Rhinolophus ferrumequinum: one gene and its partners. The protein of the gene in region 2 interacts with the protein of the main gene of each other region in a biochemical or structural test. Links are inferred from orthologs where the notes say so. Each region holds a gene or a part of one and is shown on either strand. Other genes may lie near its edges. The genes, in order: EIF4EBP1, MTOR and RPS6KB1.

Region 1 (7,112 bases), on a different chromosome or scaffold from region 2:
GAGATTTTCAAGACTCTCCAGACTCAAATATTCATAAATGGCACTCCCTTCAGCAAATTTCTCTAACATTCTCCAGACATCTAACTTCAGATCAGTGGCTCAGCCTGTGGGCAGGTTAATGACCATGGAAAGTAAACTGGAGTCATAAATGGAGATGGCTCAAATCAACTGCTGCACCTTTCCCTCCACGGACAAACAGTGCAGTGCCATTCCCAGCAAGAGTGACTGCTGGACACTTACTTCAACAGCTCCTGACACCTCCTGCAAATAAGTGAGTGCGAGCACCCATGCAGACTCTCTCGCCAGACCCTGGTTTACAGATTGATGCCAAACCCAACCTTGAGAGAATCATCATTTTTTTTTACCAGACCCCAAAGGTCTGAAAAGGTGAGGGAAGTTACATTCCAAGACCCCCAGTGGATGCCTGAAACCACAGATAGTACCAAACCCTGTGACTAACGGGCATGTAGCATAGACGTGGTAGATATGCTGGACAGAGGGATAATTCACTGCACAGGCGGGACAGAGAAGGGTGAGAGAAGGGTGGCACAAGATTTCATATTGCTAACTCACAATGGTGTACAATTTCAAACTGATGAATTGTTTATATCTGGAATTTTCCATTTACTATTTTTGGACCATGGGCAATAAACCAAGGAACGCGAAACCATGGATGGGTAAAGAGGGACTACTGTGCTCAGAGTGTGAGATTTAGATCAATCACTGGGACCTAGTTAGAAATGCAAAATCTCAGGCCCTATCCCAGAACCTACAGAATCAGAATCTACATGTAACAGAGGTCTCCAGGTAATTTGTATGCACACTGAAAACTGAGTAAGAGCCCTCTAGAGTAGACCAAAAGGGCACCAGAATGGCCTTTTCTCATTAGGTTAAGCTGCTCTGCCCTGGCAAAGGGAAGGGTAAATGGGTTTTGGAGGAAGATTTCACACCTTGGCTAACTGTGGCAGGCCAGATTTGCTAACTGAGGCAGAAACACGTCAGGATTCTCTGGTTATGGACTGTGAGCTGTATACCTTCCCCACTGGACACCCGACAAGAAAGACCTGGCTTTAGGTCACTGCTAGATTTCTTCCAATTGGCCTCCCAAAGTAAGTTACATTACGATGCAGACGCCCCTCTCCCAACTAAAGACATTCAATGAGAAGAGAATTTGCTGTGGTCTGCCAAAACCCACCCATTTCCCAGTCCAAAGTGAGAAGTGGAGAGTTTCCTATAAAGAGTATCACTGGGTATTGCTTCCAAGTTGATCTGTCCCCAACCAGCAACAAAAGGTGCAAAAGAGGGCTTCTTGAGCCGTCAGGCCTACCTCAGTACCCACCTGAACAGATCAAGCAGATTCACACTTTTATTTGAAAGAATCCCCAAATTGTCAGGAAAGGTCATGGCAGACACATCATGAGGGCAAAAGAAGCAGAACAGCATGGACTACATAAAGCCGTGGAACGAGAATTCTTGGCCAAGAATGAGTCAAGAATGGCAAGAAGAGTAGCTGGGAACTTTTCCTCAGGTCATTTTTAATAGGAGAGAGAGAGCAGTTCTCTCTATGCTTGGCTGCTATTTTTTGTTTTTTTGTTCAGTTTTGGGGAAAACAGTATGACACTGGACAATGAACACGCGCATTTAAGCTTTGGGGCCTCGGTGTCATGTTCTGTAGAATAAGATTGCACGGCTGGACAAAAAATCTAAGATCCCTAATAATTCTAACTTTGTATGTTTTGAATCAAACAGCCTAAGACCTTGGATCTGGCTGTGCTCGTTGGTGGTGGGACAGCTGCCTGAGAAAATAAGCATGTGGCCCCCGACGCTGGCAGAGGAGGCTGAGCCCCGCCTGCGTCGGTCCTCACCCTGGTCTCTCAGCGCAGCGCCAGGACCTGCGGCCTCTTTCGGGTGAGTAGTTTGAGAAGGAGCGGTGCAGGCGGGTGTAGGGGAGGGAAGAAGGGCAAAAGGGGTGAGGGCAGTAAGAGGATGGGAGGGAAGTGGTGAGCCGCGAGGAGGATTTCATTATGCAAACAGGCGGGCAGGTTTCATCAGCGCCTGTGCGCCAGGGCTTCGGGGCTGGGAGGGAATGCCTGGCTTCCGAGGGCAGCCCAAGGCTGGCCCCCACCCGTGCCAGCTCAGCTTCCTCTTCCTCATCCACTCAGCCAGGTCACACGGCACCCCCTCCCCCCGGAGAGAAGAACGTGTTTTTCTGCACAGCCCAGCCGGCCGCCCCAGGTCCCCCCGCGGAGATCCCAGAAGCGTAAATGGGAAATCTGGCACAGGTGCCGACGAGGTGCTGCTGGCACAGGAGCATACCCTCAGCCCAAAACCTTCGTCAGAGGGTGCATACCCGACACAAAACCGGGGGATAACTTGAGAAGGAAAAAGGACTCTGCATGAGGCATTTATCCCAACAGAGAACCCCCGTCCCATCCTTTAAAAAACCCAGGCCAAGCCTCTCCTTGATCCGTGGGCCATCCAGACCCCACCGTATTCGGCCTCAGAACTGCCCCCAACACCACGAGGGGCAGCACGCCTCGGCATGTGGCAGTCCTGGAAGCGTGTGCATCTGTTTGGGTGGGAGGCACTCAGCTGTCTCTCAGACCAGGAGGAAACTAATGCGGCAGTTTGCAACCCGGCGCTGGAGGACGCACCCAGAGGGCAGGCAACGGGAGGTGGCCACCAGCTCGCTCCCTGTGGCCCTCGCTGCCTCCCTGATTCCACTTACCCGTTCTTCCCAGTCACCGCGCCCCTGAACCTGGTTGCCCAGTTCAATGGGCGGCTGCCGAGTCCCCCGATCTGCCCAGTCCGTCCTCCCCACCGCCAGCACCTGGAGCCCCAGAGCCCGCGCCTACCTCCGGGAGTGGTGCTGAAGAGCGTGCCACCGGGGGTGGTACTGTAGTCCCCGGGCGGCAGCTGCACGCCGTCACTGAGGACCACCCGGCGAGTGGCGGGGATGGCCCGGCTTGGGGTCTGGCTGCAGCTGCTGCCCCCGGACATGGTCGCCCGCGCGCAGCTCCGGCAGCAGGAGCGTGGTCCTCCTGCCCCTCCTGCCTTGCTCCGCCTCGCTCCCGCGGGCCCCGCCTAAGACCGTCCCTTCCGTCTTTTCCGCTCGACGCCCCTTGGGATTTGTAGTTCCAGCGATGCCTCCGCCCACCCGCCTCGGAGCTTCTGCCTCCACGTGGGTTTCCCTGTATCCTTGGATGGGAGGCCGCTTTCCGACAGTCTACTGAGCGCCGGTGCCAGCGCCGCCCTACTTTTGCCGGCCTCTTTAGGTCCCGGGCCCCTCCAGGCCACGCCGGCGGGGACGAAGTGGGCGTGGGGAGTGGGGAAGCTTGCCTAGGTTAATGCCTCGCTGGGTCGGGGGCGCTTCTCCCGGTTGTATGGGGATCCTAGACCACTCGGGCCAGTTTAGGAAGCCCCGCATTAGGACATCAGGCCGGATGTTCCCCCAACCCTCCTGGTTCAGTGCTTTAGCTTCTCAGATGAAAAAGTGGGGATTGACTGTTTCTTCTCTCGTTGTTGTTCGGTTTACTGAGCATTCACAATGTGGCGGGCGTTGAAGAAATGGGCAAGAATTCTCGCTCCACGGCTTTGGAGACAGTGTGCTAGGACACGTGGATAAACCACACAGCTGGGTGGTAGAGCTAAACCCTGAGCCAGATGGAGGTTGGGGTTGGGGAGAGGTAGGTGATCAAAGAAAGTAGACTTGTTTGGGTTCAACGACCCACAGACTGCCTGACATTTAGTAGATACTCCTTGAGTGGATGAAACAATGAATCTTCAAGGAGATCCCTTAGTGGAGAGGAAAAAAATGCAAGGAAGACGGAAAAGCCTGCTGGGTGAGCAAGCAGTTTCTGTCATTGTCGCCACATCTTGGAAAGGGAGAGAAGAGAACAGTTTAAAAGGAAAATTGGGGTGGGATTGTGAATCATGCCAGGGTGTTCAGACTTTGTCCTACAAGAGGAGGAGATATCGGCGATCTTTTAAGCTGGGGAGTGGGGTTATTAGTGTTTTTTTTTTTTGTTTGTTTGTTTTTAAATAAAGATTTTTTTGGGGAAGGGGAACAGAACTTTATTGGGGAACAGTGTGTACTTCCAGGACTTTTTCCAAGTCAAGTTGTCCTTTCAGTCTTAGTTGTGGAGGGCGCAGCTGAGTTCCTGGTCCAGTTGCTGTTGTTAGTTGCAGGGGGCACAGCCCACCATCCCTTGTGGAAGTTGAGGAATTGAACCAGGAGCCTTATGGTTGAGAGCCCACTGGCCCATGTGGGAATCCAACCTGCCTCCTTCGGTGTTAGGAGCATGGAGCTCCAACCACCTGAGCCACCGGGCTGGCCCTAGTGTTGTTTTTTTAGAAAGATAACTAACTGGTGACCATGGAGTTTGAGAATGGACCACAGGAGGTGGAGGCCTAAGATAGGTCACTCCTGAGTTAAACTCTAGGCCTGTCTAGTAAGGTAGCCACTGGGCACACATGCCTCTGAAGCACTTGAAATACGGCCAGTCCATATTCATAAGTATAAAATACACACTAGATTTCAAAGATTCAGTGTGAAAAAGTAATGTAAAATATCTTAATAATTTGTTTTATATTAATTACATATTGAAATAATATTTTGAATATATTGGGTGAAATGAAATCTATTATTAAAATTAATTTCACCTGTTTCTTTTTACTTTTTTAGTGGGACTATAAGAATTATATATATATATATATCGTAATATATTTCTATTGGTTAGCGCTGCTGTAGGATGAGGTGGTATGAAAGCAATCTTAAAGTTTTTCTCAGAAACTTCCTCCCAAAAAACTATGGAATCATCAAATTTTAGATATGGCCAGGTACCTTATAAATCATCCAGAACCATATTCACCTCCATCTTATTGAAAAATAAACAAAAACAAAAAATCCTGAGGAGCAGAGTTTTATCCAAGAACACACAGCAGTAAAATGCTTGAGGCAGCACTGGAACCCGGTCTCACTCCCTTCCAGACCAACTCTTTTCTCATCACACTAGAAAACAAAGCGCCCATTCTCCCCCCTTGGGAGGAACTGTTCTAAAAGGGGGTTTCGTCTGGTGCCTCATTGGACTTGCGTGTTTGGTTAGCTGAGAAGGGAAGGGGCTTGCAATGACCTCTGCTCATAGGGCTGTGGAGGGCTGATGAGGAAAGTCTAAGGGCTTTAGAGGAGCCAGAGGGCTGAGGGCTGACTAGACCTGGGGACCCTCGTGGATATAGGAGGAGCACTGGCCTGGGCTGAGGGGTGTGGGTTTAGCCCCAGTGCGGCCACTAAATACGTGTTCAGTCTTGGACAAGTCCCTTCCCCTTTATGGGCCTCAGTTTCATTATCTGTCACAGAGGGGGGATGGGGGTGGCTTTAAAGATCTCTGAGAACGCTCAGCAGTGACATTTTTTGTCTTTGACAAACTCACTGCTGAATTCTGTTTCCTGTCCAGCCATTTCACCTTTGATGGTTTCTACCTCTTTATAGAGCAGGGACTCATTCATATCAAGTTTTATAATCAAGTATCAACTTCTATAGGGCATGATGAGAGTTGTCTTTTAAAAAGATTAATTGGTGGCACCAGTGGCATGTGTTTACTCATTCTCACTCTTGACAGCCCTTACCTTAGAGAGGCTATTGATAATACATCTGGGTGCTCAGCTGCATGTTTATTTCTGTCTTCTCTTCGAAGGTCTTTTAAATCTATTAGCTTATGACTGTTCTGGCAATTCTAGCTGGAGGTCAAAATAAAGCAGAATGTGGCAAGGGATGTTTTCAAGAAGAATAAGATAAGGAGCGGGACACAGTGGAGAACAGTTTCCATCCCATCTTGCTCTACTTGACCTCTAGGGAGGGAGGGACAAGGGGCAGATTTTAAGTAGAATTTTTCTGGATAGCCAACCAGGCACATAGGCCTTCTGGTATGAAATGCTTTGTGAAGTTAACAAAAAATATCAATGGAAACAAAGAACAGACCTAAGCAGGCCCTGGCCCTTCCCCAGGGTTTGTCTCAACACAGATCTGTTGAACTGGAGCAGTGGGAAGTGCCAAGAGAGGGTCCCCAGGAGTGGCTGCCTGGGGAGGGAGTAACAGGAGCTGTAAGAGTGAGAGATGCTTCCAGATTCACTGAGTCATAGTGCAATAGAGACTGACTTCAAAGCCCCTTAGGCTAGGGAGGGGTTGTTAGGGAGTAAGGGAAGTAGTGGGAGAGAAGGGACCTGGCATGTTTGTTTTATTAATAATCCTTTCCTAATGTTATTTGATGCTGAAAATGTTCCCCCTTCAACATTGGGAGTCCTTCACATTAGCTAGCATGTCCTGTCACCATGGCCCCAGGGGTCTTTGGAGGTTCCTGTACTTTCTTATATGATAAGGGGTCCTGGGCTCTTCTTCTATACTTCCCGCCCCGCATACGATTCAGCCTTTCTTCTGGAGCTCTGTTTCCATTGCAGATGGATTTGCAGTATCCCTGCATGCAGTCATGCTCTCTTCACTGACAGGCACACAGGACCGGTCTTTCTGGTAGGAAATGCTTTTTGAGGTTAATCGATGTGATTGGAATGAAGACTAGCCCTGAGCAAGCCTGGAGGGGCCTGGTGGGCTTGGTGAGTGGCCTCGTGGGCCTTGTCCATCCTCATCCTGGTTAACATGTTTGTTTTCTCTCTCTCTCTCCTATTTTGTCATTTTGCTTAGCCCTGCTTGCAAACCCGAGTTATCGGCTGACGAACACCTCCACTCTGTGCCTTTTGGCTCCCAATATTCAGCCCCTTGGCGCTCACCAGTGGTGACGCCGTGACTCTCAGTTCTGCTTTGCTTCCCATAAACTCAGTGACAAGGCTATTTCTCACAGTAAGATCTCTTTCTTTTCATCCATAGTGTTATTCTCGAGTCAATGGAGAATCTGCCTGTTTTTTTTTATTTTTTATTTTAAAATGATTGAATCTTGATCTGGGGCAGAAAGTATAGGAAGTCCTTATCATACATAGGAGTTTCTAAAGATGATAGGGCCATAGCGACAGGACACACAAGCTAACATGAAGGATTCCCAATGGTGGATTCAACGTTTTAATATGGTTCCTGGGCTCAAGGGTTTGTAAAAAAATTTTAGCGG
Region 2 (7,930 bases):
CAAAAGACACATTAGAGCTGATGGTCTGGCTAGGTCTTATTTTCGGGGAAACACAGTAGTAAGCAGCAGACACGGGGTGCAGTGGACTCAAAGGTAAACAGTCCTTTATTCCCAGTTGTTATTGTCACCAAAGACTCTGTCCTTACCTATGGCCAAGATGCCACCTTTTCTCTCATTGGCATCTGAGCTGGAAACCAGTTCAAAAATGTGATGGTTCAGCTGATCATAGAAACGAGTAGACTCCTCTTGACTCATCTGCAAAGGAGGATGAACTCAGAACAATTTCTAATGTCGCCCTGATGGTGAGGATGGGGGTGAGGGGTCACATCCAAAGATTAGGACGTGAGAGGTAGCCAGCAGGTACAGTTCAAACCAGACGTGACAAAGCTACTGCCCATTTCTAGTTTTAAACTGTAGAGCAACTGAACTCTCAATTCGCCTGTCTGTTTAACATACTTATTGAGTAAATTCCACGGCAAGCCACGTCCTGTCCCAGGGGTACAAGGATGAACGAGACAGTGTCCCTGACCTCCAGTCTGGTTACTGTTTAAAAAGCCCCAAGCTACCAGCTCTCCAAACCCGTCCCGACCACTGTTATCAAGCAGAAAGAATTGAAGATCTGGAATGCAGTGGGGAAAAGAAAACAAATTTTAAAAATAACTCTCTATGCTGACTCCTAAAATGTCACTACAAAATAGGAAATGCCACAGAACTGTGTAACCACGGCAAAGGAAATTGCCCATTCTATGACACGAGAAACTGGGTGCATCTCTCAAACAGAATCTCACTGAGCTGTCCAAAGAAATCTAAGCCAGTGATGGCACACTTTGCCCCAACACGCCAGGGATGGCCCCAGATGGCAGAAGCCCCCACCTCTCGAAGCTCCATGGTGACGTAGTGCTGGAGCTCCTTGGCAGCTTTGGCTCTGGTCTCCTCATTCCGGCTCTTCAGGCCGCTGGCAAACTGCTGCAGAACACTCACGTTGCTGGATGTGGTGGCGGCTGTGGTGGCGACAGCAGGTCCGGTTCCAAGCATCTTGCCCTGAGGTTCTTTGAAGAGAAGCTTCCTTTAAAATCCTGGTTAACAAACTAGGGCAGTGAGTTTATTTACGACTCCAGTTTCTCCATACCGATCTCCACCCTGTCCATGTCAGGCAGGGAGACTTCACTAAGGAAAGTGGAGAAAGCCACTATTTATTCAATAATGACTGATGTTTCAGAGGCAGCGTAGTAACAGGGTCAAATTGCCGGCTGCAGAGCCACACTACCTGCATTTGAATCCAGTCCAAAACTATGTACCTTGAGAAGATACTTGAAATATCTATTTCCTCCATTGCAATAGGGGAATACTACTACCTAATTCATAGGGTTGACGTGAGGATTAAATGAGTTAATACATGTTAAAAAGTATTTAAAACAGTGCCGGGCACACAGTGAGTTCTGTTAGCTATTATTATAGTGCCAGAAACTAGAGGTGGGGAGGTAGAGAGAGAATAAAACATGCCTAAGACTGCCTTTCCTCAGAGAGTTCAATTTAAAGAGGGAAATTTTTATTCCATAGCAGCATTGTCCAACAGAAATATAACACAAACCACAAATGTAATTTTAAATTTCCTAGTAGCCATATCAAAAAGGTAAGAACAGGCAATATTAATACATTTTATTTAATCCAATATACCCAAAATTATCATTTCAACATGTTACCAATATAAAAAATTGATATATTTTCCATTCTTTTTTGTACCAAGTCTCCAAAATCTAATGTATATTTTACACTTAACGGCAATCTCAATTTAGACTAGTCACATTTCATGCGCTCTAAGCCACATGGTTATTATTTCATGCGCTCTAAGCCACATGGCTGGTGGTTATCGTACTGGACAGTGCAGTTCTGTAGAATACTAGTACTTGAAATGTGAGCTAAAAGAGACTGATTAGTTCCTGAAACCATTCATTCATTCCTCAATTATGTACCTGTCCGTTCCCTCAATGAGCTTACAATCTAAGGGGAAATACAAGTAATCAGGCAACCACAATAAAGTGGCCAGAATAGGGGTTGGCCCAGACTGCTACGGGAGTAACATATATACCTAACTTAGGTATGTTCAGGTTATAGTAGAATATCAATTTTTCAAAATTCTTATTTTTGAAAGAATTTGCGATGTCAAGGGAAAAAAACACACGGAATCATTGGTTTTGAAAACCTTTTAAATACTCCAGTGCCAGAAAAAAGACTGCAGAAGGAAATGTCCTCCTCCAGGGGAGGGAATATCCAAGGATCCCTGATGAGAAAACTACTATAGGGTGTGTGACCGCGCCTCTGTGATGACGGGGAGGGAGGCTGGCAAGGAATTTCTATTCTCAGGAAAGAACCAGCCTATCTTTTTAAGGTCTAAGGCCCACAGGCCATCTGCTCCAGGCAGAATGCAATTAAAATGCTGGAAGTCAAATGCCCTAAGGGAACTGGGGAGGGCTTACAGAAGTTCAAGTTGGGTGGCTGAAACTAGGGATGGGGGCGGGGGAGGCAGAGGGATGAAACCCAAGGATGGAACCGAGCTCAGCTCCGGGTAAAGGTTCCTTGAGAAGTCTCCAGACTGGAGTGCAAGGGGCTGAGACTGACGCTGGTCTTCTCTGAGGACAATTTGTAAGGTGGCTCCGAAGAAGGGGTGACTGACGGACAAGGAGACCCAAAGGCTCCCCGATAGTACCGGAGCTGATGGGCCGGCCTTCGCGCAGCCAGAGACGCACGGCAGGCTCAAGGATCCAGGGGTCTCCTGGGGGTCCGGGAGGAGGTGGGCGTTGCCTCGCAGGGTGGGGGTTAAGGGCTCAGGCGGCGCCCAAGTCTGGGGCCAGTTCTGAAGGGACCCCAGGGCCCAGAAGGGCGGCTTCCCCGGGCCCTCCACAGACCAGGCTGGCTGTGGGTCTGGACATTCCGCCGCCTTGCATGGGTCGGTGCCAGGCTCCAGACTCACCGCGCGGCTTCGGCCAAGGCCTCAGCTGCCGCCACCAGCGCCGGTACCACCGCTTCAGGCCCGGGGCCCTACCACCCGCCTTCCTCGCTGTCCTCTAAGCCGGCGGCAGGGAGGGCTGGCTCCCAGACCTAAGAACCAATCGGCAGGCGTAAGGCGAAGATGGATTGAAACACACACCAATAGTAATGAAGGAGAAGTGAAGCTTCGGGACCCGGCTTCTCCAGGGGGCGGGGACTGCTCAAATAGACAAACTACGCGGCCAGTGGCAGGCGAAAGGAGGCTTAAGTCCACTCCGGAGAACCAATCAGTGGTGAGTTGACTTCAGTCACTTCCACGCACACATCCGGTGCATCGGTACTATTATTCCCCTCTGCCTCGGAGCTGCGCCGTGCCTAGTCGGCTGCCTGGTAGCGGCGGTAGGCGGGGGTTCGCGAACTCGCCCGGCTTAATTCTAAGAGGAGTGTGTTTCCAGACTAGCGCTACTTATGGACCCGAGAATCTTTTCATTGCATTGGTTCTTCTGTGAAAATTGTTCCTCTGAATTTCACATTGTTTATTTGTGTTCAACATCTCTATATTTAATCATTAAACATTTTCCAATATAATGTATTCACTGTTCAAATCTCAAAATAAATAAAAATTACATTTATCACAATATATAATTTTGTGCTCCACCCCTGCCTCTTCACTACTTATTTTCTTACTTAACATATCCCTAGATTTTATTTATGTAAATACAAGCAAGTATAAACATTTTTATTTTCCCCTTTTGTTATACTATATACACTGTTCTGCACTTTTTTTTTTAAAGATTTTTTTATTGGGGAAGGACTTGATTGGGGAAGGGCTTTATTGAAGAACACTGTATTTCCAGGACTTTTTATTGGGGAACAGTGTGTTTTTCCCAGGACTCGTCAGCTCCAAGTCAAGTTATTGTCCTTTCAGTCTTACTTGTGGAGGGCGCAGCTCAGCTCCACAGTCACCGTTGTTAGTTGTAGGGGGCGCAGCCCACCATCCCTTGGAGGGAGTTGAACCGGCAACCCTGTGGTTGAGAGCTCGTGCTCTAACCAACTGAGCCACCTACTGATCCCTGTTCTGCACTTTTAAAATTTTAGTGTACCTTAGAGATCTTTCTATCTTACTATATAGAAAGCTTCCTTGTTCCTTCGTTGTTGTTATAGCTCCATAGTAGTATTCTATTACATGGATGTACCATAATTTATTTTTCGAGTCCTCTGTTGATGGACACTTGTGTTGTTTCCAAATTCTTGCTATTACTAATGATGCTGCAATGAATTCCTTTGTACATATGTATATAATTTTATTCCCTGGCAGCTATACCAAAAAATCCAGAAATGGGTATCCAGGGTCAGAGGGTAAATGCACGTGTAGTTTGATGGATATTATGAAATTGATCTCTATAAGGGAGGTACCAATTTTCATTTCATATGAAATTTTTGCCACTCTAAGACACGATAAGGCTCTGTTTTCTAACTGACAAAGATGGTTTTATAGCAACAGTAACCAGTGCATTTGTAGGTTTCTTTTTCAAGTTTACAAAGAGCTTTCTTATCCATTATGTTAAAATAATCTATTACTAATATTAATCAAGCACTTACAAAGTATCAGGCATTTTGGTGGACATTATTGAGTACTGGTTAAAAGTAGGGCAGAGTCAAAGTAACTGAATCTGAAACTTAGCTCCAAAACTTACTAACTGTATGAGCAAGTATTTAATCTCTATGTATCTATGTCCTTATTTATAGAACTGGAAGGATTATAATATATGTACCTCAGCAGGCAGTGTTGTGGGGGTTAAACATTAATACATGTAAAGTACCTAAAACACTATATAACACATGTGAACAGTCAATAAATGTTGTTACTTTTATTTCTGAACATATCTAAGAGGCAGGTTGTATTGTTCCCACTTTATACTTTATCCATGAGTAAACTGGCATACAGAAGGATTGGATCTTAGAGTTCATAAGTGATGGAGCCAGGATCTAAAAATACCTGCTTCTTTTTCTCATCTGATTTGGCAGGATAGGACAGTTGGGTTTGTCCAGCATGCAATATGTGCTACGTGCTAAAGTTGTAAATCTTTAACAACCAGCTGGCTGGTAAGTGGGGACAGGAATATACGTGTATATATAGGGCTGGTTTCACGGCTATTGTGATCTGTGAGGTTGTAATATTCTGTCTTGAAATTCTTAATAAATACACAATACTTCTCATTGTAAATTGCACATAGCCAATTGAGTCTAACAGGATGCTTTTTGTGGTTTTCTGTAGCCTCCCTATGTTTGCAATTGATCAATGAGTGTAGTTCCAACATGAATGTTGGTAGATACTTTCTTTTATGTTAATGAGTAAGAGGAAAGTGAATTAATTTAGAGATATTTTGAGAATTCACTAGTTTGTCAACGACATGAAGGCTTCTTTGCTGAGCTGGATGGATAATAATTTTCCAATCCTGGAAGAATATTTCATAAAATTTTTGCTGCTATTCATAATGTAACAGCTACAGAGTTGACACACTTGTGAATTTAATTGGCATTATTAACTTTTCCCCTTCACTTTCTTAAGTCTAGGTGATCAACAAAACAATTATCAAGCATGTGCTGATTTGTGTGGTATAAATACTCCCACTAGGGCAGATTTCAAGCTGTCAACTGATGTCACTGAATGAAAAGCTAGGAAGAGATGAGCAGTAGCACCTTGTTATATAGTATTTCCACAACAAATGTCAACAACCTAAAGAGTATAAATGGTAAAACATAGTGAAGTAATTAGGAAGTAATGTTTTGAGTATTTGTTACCTTTGTTTTTAATATAATTTATCTAATTGTAAGTTTGTGTAGTTTGATTTTTAATAATGGATGTGCTTCATGACCGGCTGACAAAATTCCCCAAAATCTAACAATTGGCTTTCTCCAGTCAGAAGGAGCTACAGAAGCTCGCAGAAGATGGGCAATGAAGACACAGAGCTGGCCACCTGATAGGGTGGGGTGGGCAGATATTTGTACGAATATTAAATTAAAATGTGGCTAAAAAGGCAGGCAGGTTATTGCAGTGTATGTGGCATTGGTAATTGTACAATAGAAAGCGGGAATTTTTGCTGTCGTGATTATTATTGGAGTGAATAATTTCTTAGGCATCATTTCCCATTTCAGAGCTTCAAGTTTCTCATCTAGAAGGGATGTGCTCATCTCCCTCAATGTGCTCCCTGATTTTGTCCATTATGTTCACTGCTGCGTACAGTCGTGCTCAATAAATGCTTGTTGCATGAAAAGAAATGAATGAGTCCTCTTCCGATGAGTGAAAGCTCTTGCTAAGTCGGAAAGCCACACGCATTCCTGGTGGATCTTGTGATGCTAACCGAGACTGGGCGCAGCCGCTGGGCGCGCGCTCCTCCTCTGCGAAGGAAGGGCTGGACTGCGGGTTTCCCGCCGGCTCCCCAGCCCTGGCTCCGCCCGGCCCGGCCGGCCCAGCGCGCGCGGCCAGCCCCTGTTTCCGGGCCGGCCTCCAGAGGCGGGCGCACAAGATGGCGGTCCCGGTAGTCCCGAGGAAGTGTGTGCTTCTCGGCTTTGGGCTCTAGCGCCGGGCTGGGGTCCGGAGACAGGCTTCGCCCAGGTGACAGGAAGCCCGAGCGGTGCCACCCGGCCTCGTGGGTTGCCAGGCCCGCTCGCTGCTGCCCCGGGGCCCCGCCGCCTCCCCAGCCCTGCCCCGGGGCGGAACCGAAGAAGGTCAGGTCCGGCGGTCCCACCCCGCCCCTCCTGGTCCCGCGGCAATCGCTGTTCTGTGCGTGGCTCACTATTAACATTTGAGCTCAGCCACGTGCAGCCTCCATGGCGGCCTCGCAAGTTCCAGGGGAGAAGATTAGCATCCGGACGGGAGAGTCGGCCAAGGCCGGGGACAGGGACCTGCTAGGGAACGACTGTCCGGAGCGGGACAGGCCCCTCCAGCGTTCCTGGAGGCAGAAGTGCGCCTCCTACGTGCTGGCCCTGCGGCCCTGGAGCTTCAGTGCCTCACTCACCCCGGTGGCCCTGGGCAGTGCCCTGGCCTACCGATCCCAGGGCGTCCTGGATCCCAGGCTGTTGGTGGGTTGTGCCGTGGCAGTCCTGGCTGTGCACGGGGCTGGCAATTTGGTCAACACTTACTATGACTTTTCCAAGGGTATTGACCACAAAAAGAGTGATGACAGGACCCTGGTGGACCGAATCTTGGAGCCCCAGGATGTTGTGCGGTTTGGAGTCTTCCTGTACACTTTGGGCTGTGTCTGTGCCGCTTGCCTCTACTACATGTCCCCTCTGAAACTGGAGCACTTGGCTCTCATCTACTTTGGAGGCCTTTCTGGCTCCTTCCTCTACACAGGAGGTAAGAACTAGCAGGTTTCCTGTGCTGGAGGTCTTAGTTGCATGTGCTAGAAACTGCTGCTTTGTGTAGGAGTTATAGGGTTAGGGATGATGGGTCAAAGATTCTTTTCTCAATTAGGCCACTTATGTGAAATCTAGATTGTGTGGATCATGTGGATTATTTTGAAAATTGTAGTGGGTTGAGAAGATCCTGGCTTGGCTTTTGGATGTTAGAAATGAAAATTTTTATATGTATATTATATAGCTATATCTCTATATACACCGGGGGTGCCAAAAAAGTATATACAAGTGGACAATTTGGTCAACATTGCTCAAGCAGTAGTTCTCTGTAATCAGCAGTGTCTGGACGCCGATGGTAACCACTTTGAGCACCTCTTGTAATTGCAGAAATCAAATGTGACTTGTATTCATCTTTGTTATCGGTAAATATTATTACAATTTTAATACCGTTTTTCTTTCTTGAAATGTGTATACATTTTTTTGGCACCCTCTGTGTATATATACATATATATGGAAAAATATATGGATTTTTTTTGTATCTAGTTCCTTTTTGTAGGTCATATATTATCATGCCACAGTT
Region 3 (7,536 bases), on a different chromosome or scaffold from region 2:
ATTCAACTTTAAATTACTCTCCTCATCTTTTATTCACTGAAGAATTAACTATGCTATGTAAATACATATTACTTACTAATACAGACCGACTCAGTGTAGGCATGTATCTCTAAATAGGACCAATGATTTAATTTAAAAAAAAAAAAAGATACAAAGCTCTAAAAGTACAGCCCTTCTAGTATAACTGTATTTATTAAGTCTCTAGGCATAGAGGAGAGTAAACTTGAATGATTGGTTCCTTGGCAATGCGTAGCACTGACAAGCTTTATTTCCAAGAACTAGCTAACTGCTTAATATGCCATGATATTTTGGAGTACTGTATACACTTTATCTAATGCAATCATCATTTTACAGAGAAAAAAAAGTGTTAGAGATTAAGCAATTTGTTCTAGGTCACATCGTCAGTGAGCATACCTGGAAGGATCTGAATTCACTTTGACACACCACAAAGAGGTACATTATGAACAAGACTAATAAATGCAATGAAAAAGCTGTACAGTGAAGCTTGCTGAATTGAGTCACAAGACACTACCACCAGTTACCTATATGGCCTTGGGCAATCATCTCTCTGGCCTATGCCTCAGTTTCCTTACTATCAAACGAAGAAGGGAGGCTACTCTGATATGTTACCAATGGTATCTGATATGATACCAATGTTTTAAAAAGTTTGTGTTAAACTAAAGATTATAAATTCACAAGCAGCCAGAATATTACTTATATAATTATAAATTCACAAAAGCCCGATTTTCCAAAAATCTAAACTTGTCTCATTTTTTCAAAATTTTACAATTTTATTTTAGAGGAACCTGGATGTCACTTAATCTCCTTGGGTGGCCAGCCCAATCCCACTCCAACTCTTTTCCACCGTGAGGCACCTATTAGAATAACACACTCAAAAGAAACATTTTCAACTCCAAAAGCATTGCTAAAATATAATATAATTTGCCGAAAGCTTTCTCAAAGTCCTCTTTAATTACCTTTGCTCTTTCCCCAAAGTTCCTCTCCCTAGAATAATGGCCACATTTCTTTCTCTTTCCTATTTCCATCAATTTTTCTGGCCTCCTCTTCCACACCCTCTCACAGTCCTATTTGCTTGTACCCAGCAAAACAAATGTCCAGGAATAGGCCCAAATCCTACGAGGTTCCAGTTCATAACAGGAATCTTAATACAGTATTTTACTTCCAACTCCTTTAACTTCTCCTGATGAACCCATGGCCTGGAAATTCTATCAGTTCACCTAATGAAGATTTTATAAAGCATCCTTCCTATCAAGTTTTCTCCCCTGCCCTGCTTCAAAGCCACTGCCATATGGAGCCAATATAATTGATGAGAGGATTATATATGTAATGAAAGTAATCCCATTTTGTTTCCAATTGTAATTAGTGTATCACATGTTCAATTAAGAGGCAAACTGGAATTCCATATGCAAACATATTAAAAAATACACATCTCAATACCCACCTTCCAAACTGTGTAATTTTGATTTAGACTCATTTGATTATGAAAAGATCAACTATTTTAGCCCAGTTAGTTTCATCAAGCTTCCAAAGTTCTGTATACATAGCATCTCAATCTTTTGTCAACAAGCAGGGCACAACTTACTTGCCAGAGGAAGAAAAATGAGTGAGGGAAAGAAAGGGAAGCCCCTTATGTAGTTAGAACAAACATCTTACATCAGTCATCAACCCATGTGTACTCATCTAGACAATGGAATTTAGACTCTAAATTACCACGAGATTATACATGATCAATTGCCCAGAATTAGTTATTTTGTATAACAACACCATTCTTTAACTTAGGTATAATTTGTGATTTTTTCAATAAATTTGTCTTGAAATACGAGTGCTATTCCATAAAGAATAACAAGCTACTAAGACAGCAAAGGTGAAACCAAGCTATGCATTAGGAAAAACAATTCTAAATTTAGCACCCTAAATTACAGCAAGGAAAGCCCTCACACCACCATTCACAAGTCTCCGTTCAAGCAATTTATTTTTGGCAAGCCAAATCACAGCTGTCAACGCTGGGTTTTTTTCCACCCCAAAATTACAGAAAGTATTTTGAAAAAATGTAGACATCTTCAACTGGGGGAAATGTAAGTTACAAACACCGTGTGTCGTTATAAAAGCGTTTTTTAAAAAGTCACACGGAAGGGGGTTAAAAAAAAAAAGCAAACAAACAAACCCTGGAAGATGCAGCAGAGCCCCCTTGCTCCCGAAATAAAACTCCTGGTGGCTGTAACAGCAGAGGCAGCGCTACTCCCGACAGAAGTTTTCAGCTGTCACTTCTAACAGCTGAGCGCTTCCTAGGAGAGAAGCGACAGGCCGAGAAGAGAGGTGGTTGTGGGAGGTCTGAAGATTTAATGCTTGAAATCTTACACTCGGAGGGAAACCCTTCCGCACTTCACCTGCACTTACGGGACACCCAGCAAGCGCAGTCCCCCTCCCCCAACACACGCTACACCACTCACGGCCCGCCACACTCAAGTCGAACAGCTGGAGAAATCGACCACGCGCCTTTTCGTTCGCTCCACAGACTGCTCCGGGCTGCGCTGATCTAGAGCTAGGGGCGCGACCTGCACCTGCGAGCCCCGCAGCGGCCTCACACCTAGGGCCAGGTCCGCCCCGCCCGCTCCCCTGCCTCGGGCCGCGCGGCGCTTCAGCTCCTCCTGGAGACTTCTCGCGCCCCCTGGGTCTCTGCGCTCTCGGACGCGCCCGACTTCCAGGGCCCGCGCCGCCGCCCCAGCCCTGTCACCTCGGGCCCCCCGGGACCTCGGGCCTCACCCCCTCCTCCAGCTCATCCTCAGAGCCCGCGTCCTCTGGCTGGTCCAGGTCTATGTCAAACACTCCTGCCATGTCCTCAGCTTCCCTGTCTCGGAAGTCCGGCGCTGGGTAAAAGCCGTCCCGCCTCCGTCGTCGCCTCATGGGCCCGGACCCGCCGCAGCCACTGCCGCCGCTGCCGCCATCACCGGCTGCTTAGGCTCAGTGCGTCTGCGCCTAGGCCTTAGACTTGCTCCTCAAATTCAGCGCTAGAGCATGCGTACAGGGTTTTTTGAAGCCGAACTGTGGGCAATGAACATGCGTAGAACTATCCCCAAGAGCCAGGTACGGGCAGAAACATGCGCAGAACCCCAGCCGAAGCCTCTCTTGGAATCTAGACCATGCGCATTGTCAGCTAAAGCTTTTGATGGACAGTGAGCATGCGTAACGTGTCTGAAGTTGATAAATTGAAATTGAACATGCGTAATTAACCTTTCTGAATAGGGAAAAAAAAAAAGCCCACAACACTCTTCGTTTGTGGAACATGCGCATTCGTTTTCCATAGCTTTTTGGGTGTTGAAAGTGAGCATGCGCATGATGGTCCTCTGAAGTTTGAACAGGATAGAAACGGCTGGTCCTGGGGCTGTCAGTGAGTGGGCTTAATGGGGAACTCCTAGGGTTGGTGGGGAAAGGGAGTCTTGGTTTTGCTATTTACTAGTTCAGTAGCCTTGCGAAAGTCACATAACCTTTCAGAAACTCAGTTTCCTTATCTATAAAATGAGAATCATGGTACCTAGTTTGCAGGGTTGTTTGAAAATTGTAACTGCAGAGTGTGACTCACAAGCCACTGCTCTTTTCACTGCTGCATAGACCTGGTGTGAGGCGTTCACCAAAACTTGTTTCTTTTCATTGTTAAAAAATAATGAAGACCTGCTCTAATGTTTCATCTGGTCTAGTTTTTCCAAGCTTCATCTTCCTTGCTGTCCTACCTGAGCTAAACACAAAGTCTTCCTTATAAGTGTTACTGTAGTTACCAGGCCAGAAAGGTGATTGGTGAAGAAAGTCATTATTCAGAAGAGAATTAATGTTAAGTACATGTACTAACTTCTGAACTAATTTCTGCATTCTGTGTGTTCCTATGGTGGGAAATGTATAGTATTTATTCCTTCAACTAGCATTCATCTTGTTTTGTTTAAATGTATACATAGGAATATAGTGATTAGAAATCAGATTTTGGAAACTATTGAGCTGTGTGTGAATGGATTTGGGTACAGTAAATCCCAAATCCCAAAGCCATATGGAGAAAGAGAATAATTTCCTTGAATGATTGGCATCTTAGACAACATAGCTATTTCATCTATAAAACCATATACATATATGGCATTTTAAAATTATATATATTTTATTGATGTATATTAACATATAGCATTTTATTCTTTATTAGTAATGTAGTTCTCAACACCTATCTTTTTTCTATTACAGGTTGGTTCCTCACTTTTTTGAGGAAATAGGCCTAGTTTGTCAGGCCTCAACATGTCAATAGTAACACTGCAACTTGGTCAGTGTGGCAATCAGATTGGTTTTGAAGTGTTTGATGCTTTATTTAGTGACTCACACTGTCCCCAGAGACTCTGCTCTAAAAGAGAGAATGAAGCATATCAAGCGTCTTGCAAAGAAAGATTCTTCAGTGAGGAGGAAAATGGAGGTATGTGTGGTCCACAGTCCTCTTTTACTCTGACATAACCAACCACTTCAAGGCCAGGCCATCCACGTGGTGTCTGAACCCCATACTTTCCCATCTTACTAGGGAATGACTTTGCTCTTGACTCTTTGTTTCTATGTTAACAACATTTGCCCCTACCGTGGCATCTTCCCCTCAGCACAAGAGCATGCTCAGACCCTGCCAATCTAAAAACAAACAAAACGTATCTCTCGTCTATAGCTTTTTTCTTCTCTTACCTTTGCTTCTCATCTAAGATTCTCAAAGGAGAACCCTCTTTAACCAACTATAATCCTGCTTCTGCCCTTCTTCACTTCTAAAGCTGCTCTGAGAAAAGTTCCCAATGATCTCCTAATTACCAGATCCAATGACTATTTTTGTTTTAATTCACTTAACTTTTCTACTGGATTTGATAACATTAATTATAAAACTCCTCCTTACTGTCTGAAGTTTTCTTCTCCAGTGGTTGCACCGCAGGCTCTCTGTCCTGATTTGTATAGTTCTCTCTAGGCAATTTCAATTATTCTTCTAAGTGCTACATCTTTTACACTGGTGACTCTCAAATCTCTAGCCTAGCTTCTCTTCCAAGCTGCCGACTGATTAGTGGACATACTCACCTGCATCTCCCATGTGTACCTCAAATTCAACATCTCCATACCCAAGATCATTCATTATCTTTCCTTTAAAACTTGGGCTCCTACTATACACATAACATCAGACATCTGCTTAATTTACTTCCTCCATATCTCTTGAAATTCTTCTTGCCTTTCCATCTTCACTGTCATGGACTTAGTTCTGGCTCTTGTTTTCTCTCACCTGGATTGTTTCAAGACAGTCCTTCTGAGTTTCCCTGCCTACACTCTTGTGTCTATCATAGCTATCCTCCACACTGCTGTATTAAAAAAATTTTTTTTTTAAATCTGACTGTTCCTCCCCTGCTTGAACATTTTCAGTGGTTTCACATAACGTAAAAGATAAATTTCAAGCTTTGATTGCATACAAGGACTTTCAAGATCTGAGTCCTGCCTGCTTTCCATCTCCGTCCATCACTTCTACCCCCTCCTTCTCCATCTTTTGCTTCAACAATCCTAAACTGCTTGTGTGCCCTGGGTATTTTGTACCTCTGAATATGCTATTCTATCACTGTAGATTCGTCATGGGTCATATCACCTGATATAGTGATTAAGCGTCGATGTCTTTCATTTCTCCCACTAGTCCTTCTAGGGCTGGATTGATCTTCATCTCTGTGTTCCCAGCACAGTACATGTTACATTATGTAAGAATGCAACAGATGTTTGTAGACCTGACCCAGTGATTATTTTAGCCCACACTGATTCATCCTGCTTAGCAGAATGCTAGGCATTCTGAACCATCTGTACATACCTGCTGCTGCCCACCTCAATTTCTAAGCAGTGTGACAGATCTTTGTATCCTCAACCTTTGGGGTTTTTTTTTGTACTTAGGAGTTTATGCTCTGTGTTAACCCAAATAAGACTGTGAAATATTTTTCCCCCCTCTCTAGTTCCAATTGCTCGAGCTGTACTTGTTGACATGGAACCTAAAGTTATCAATCAAACATTACTAAAGGCTGCCCAGTCTGGCCGATGGAAATATGGCCAGCATTCAGGCTTCTGTCAAAAACAAGGTTCTGGAAACAACTGGGCATATGGGTAAGAATAACTCATGATTTTCAGTTTAGGTACAGCTACATAGTCAATTAATAAATAGTGTAGTTACAAGTAAAAAGTTGATATACTGAGCAAAGAATCTTTAAATTGCTATTTTAAAATTTAGGGTGTGACTTCACTCAAAAGAAATTCTACCTTACGTATGTATATGCTTCAGGTCCAAACAATGATGAAACCAAGGATCTCTTGCAGTAGGGTTTTCCACTTCTTCACAGTCGTTCTGCCAACTAACTTATTATCAATATAATATCTTTATCTGGCAGGTATTCCAGCTAATATGGGATACAGCAGGGCAGTAGTGTTTCCTGGGTTCTTTGGAAAATTTCAGTGCCTAGGGCTCAATTCGAGAAATTCTGATTTAATTGGTTTGACATGAAGCCTGGATGTTGGGATTTTTCAAAGCTTCCTTAGGTGATTGGAATGTGCAGCAAATTTCAAGAACCACTGTTTAAGGTGTATTGTTAAGAACATCGAATATTATGTTGTACCATAAACTTACAGAACTACCTGGTAATTGAAGTCTACAGCTAAAGGAGTGGCCTATAAAAGAGAATTTCTGTACCCAGTAAATTCACTCTCTTAACAGTCCTATCTACCTGTTAAATATCTTTAACTTGAATATTTTAAATTTTGTGCCTTTCATGAGAGTTAGTTCACTTCCCTAGGTTTAAAAAGACTTCTCTATTCTGCATTGCATCTCTCTGGTTAAATTGAAAGGTGTTTGCATTTGTTCCTTTTGCATTGCATAGTTACTCTGTTCATGGACCCAGGCATGAAGAACCTATATTGAACCTAATCCAGAAGGAAGCGGAGAAATGTGACTCTTTGAGTGGTTTTTTCATCATAATGAGTATGGCTGGGGGTACAGGATCAGGACTAGGAGCCTTTGTTACACAGAATTTACAGGATCAGTACTCCAGCTCTTTGAAAATGAATCAGATTATATGGCCTTATGGAACTGGTGAGGTATGAACTGAATTTTTTATATTTTGTATTCCTTGCTGTTGAAATCAATGTAGGTAAAAGACTGATCTGACCCTTTCTTTGGAAATGCTAAGTTACTGTGTCAGGAGTGATTATGCAATATGGTAGTTGCGTGAACAATTCATTTAACTTTGCTTTAACTTTTCCAAACAAATGAAGTGTCCCTGTTTTTAAAATTTTCAAAGAAGACAATTGTGCATTTTCTCTTAGGAATCCATTCCTGAGTTAATCCTTCTGTCTCTAGTATGTAAAGCAGGGACCTTGACTTCATGTTAGGGGGCATCATGCCATTGCCAACCTTCAAAGAATTTTCATTTCTCTCCATTACAAGGAAATTTCTATATAGGCCCATTTCTTGTTGACCAGCCTAGTAGGAGAAATACT

What was found.
Region 1: of the proteins of MTOR (region 2) and EIF4EBP1, one has a biochemical effect on the other in vitro, tested with the Homo sapiens proteins (29 studies listed by BioGRID and IntAct, with this or other methods). The link is inferred for Rhinolophus ferrumequinum from reciprocal best matches to the Homo sapiens genes MTOR and EIF4EBP1.
Region 3: of the proteins of MTOR (region 2) and RPS6KB1, one has a biochemical effect on the other in vitro, tested with the Homo sapiens proteins (18 studies listed by BioGRID and IntAct, with this or other methods). The link is inferred for Rhinolophus ferrumequinum from reciprocal best matches to the Homo sapiens genes MTOR and RPS6KB1.

The regions. Positions count from the first base shown.
Region 1 is NC_046287.1:61,504,033-61,511,144, forward strand, and holds the start of EIF4EBP1 (eukaryotic translation initiation factor 4E-binding protein 1), read right to left. Parts: upstream 3,084-7,112; 5' UTR 3,001-3,083; coding exon 2,856-3,000; intron 1-2,855. UniProt on the Homo sapiens protein: Repressor of translation initiation that regulates EIF4E activity by preventing its assembly into the eIF4F complex: hypophosphorylated form competes with EIF4G1/EIF4G3 and strongly binds to EIF4E, leading to repress translation.
Region 2 is NC_046292.1:7,570,090-7,578,019, forward strand, and holds the start of MTOR (serine/threonine-protein kinase mTOR), read right to left. Parts: upstream 3,104-7,930; 5' UTR 2,972-3,103; intron 1,050-2,971; 5' UTR 1,036-1,049; coding exon 874-1,035; intron 256-873; coding exon 147-255; intron 1-146. Other genes in the region: UBIAD1 (ubiA prenyltransferase domain-containing protein 1), read left to right, coding at 6,823-7,351. UniProt on the Homo sapiens protein: Serine/threonine protein kinase which is a central regulator of cellular metabolism, growth and survival in response to hormones, growth factors, nutrients, energy and stress signals.
Region 3 is NC_046304.1:26,277,117-26,284,652, forward strand, and holds the start of RPS6KB1 (ribosomal protein S6 kinase beta-1), read right to left. Parts: upstream 3,065-7,536; 5' UTR 2,926-3,064; coding exon 2,785-2,925; intron 2,307-2,784; exon of another isoform or gene 2,186-2,306; intron 1-2,185. Other genes in the region: TUBD1 (tubulin delta chain), read left to right, coding at 4,294-4,465, 6,003-6,150, 6,918-7,134. UniProt on the Homo sapiens protein: Serine/threonine-protein kinase that acts downstream of mTOR signaling in response to growth factors and nutrients to promote cell proliferation, cell growth and cell cycle progression.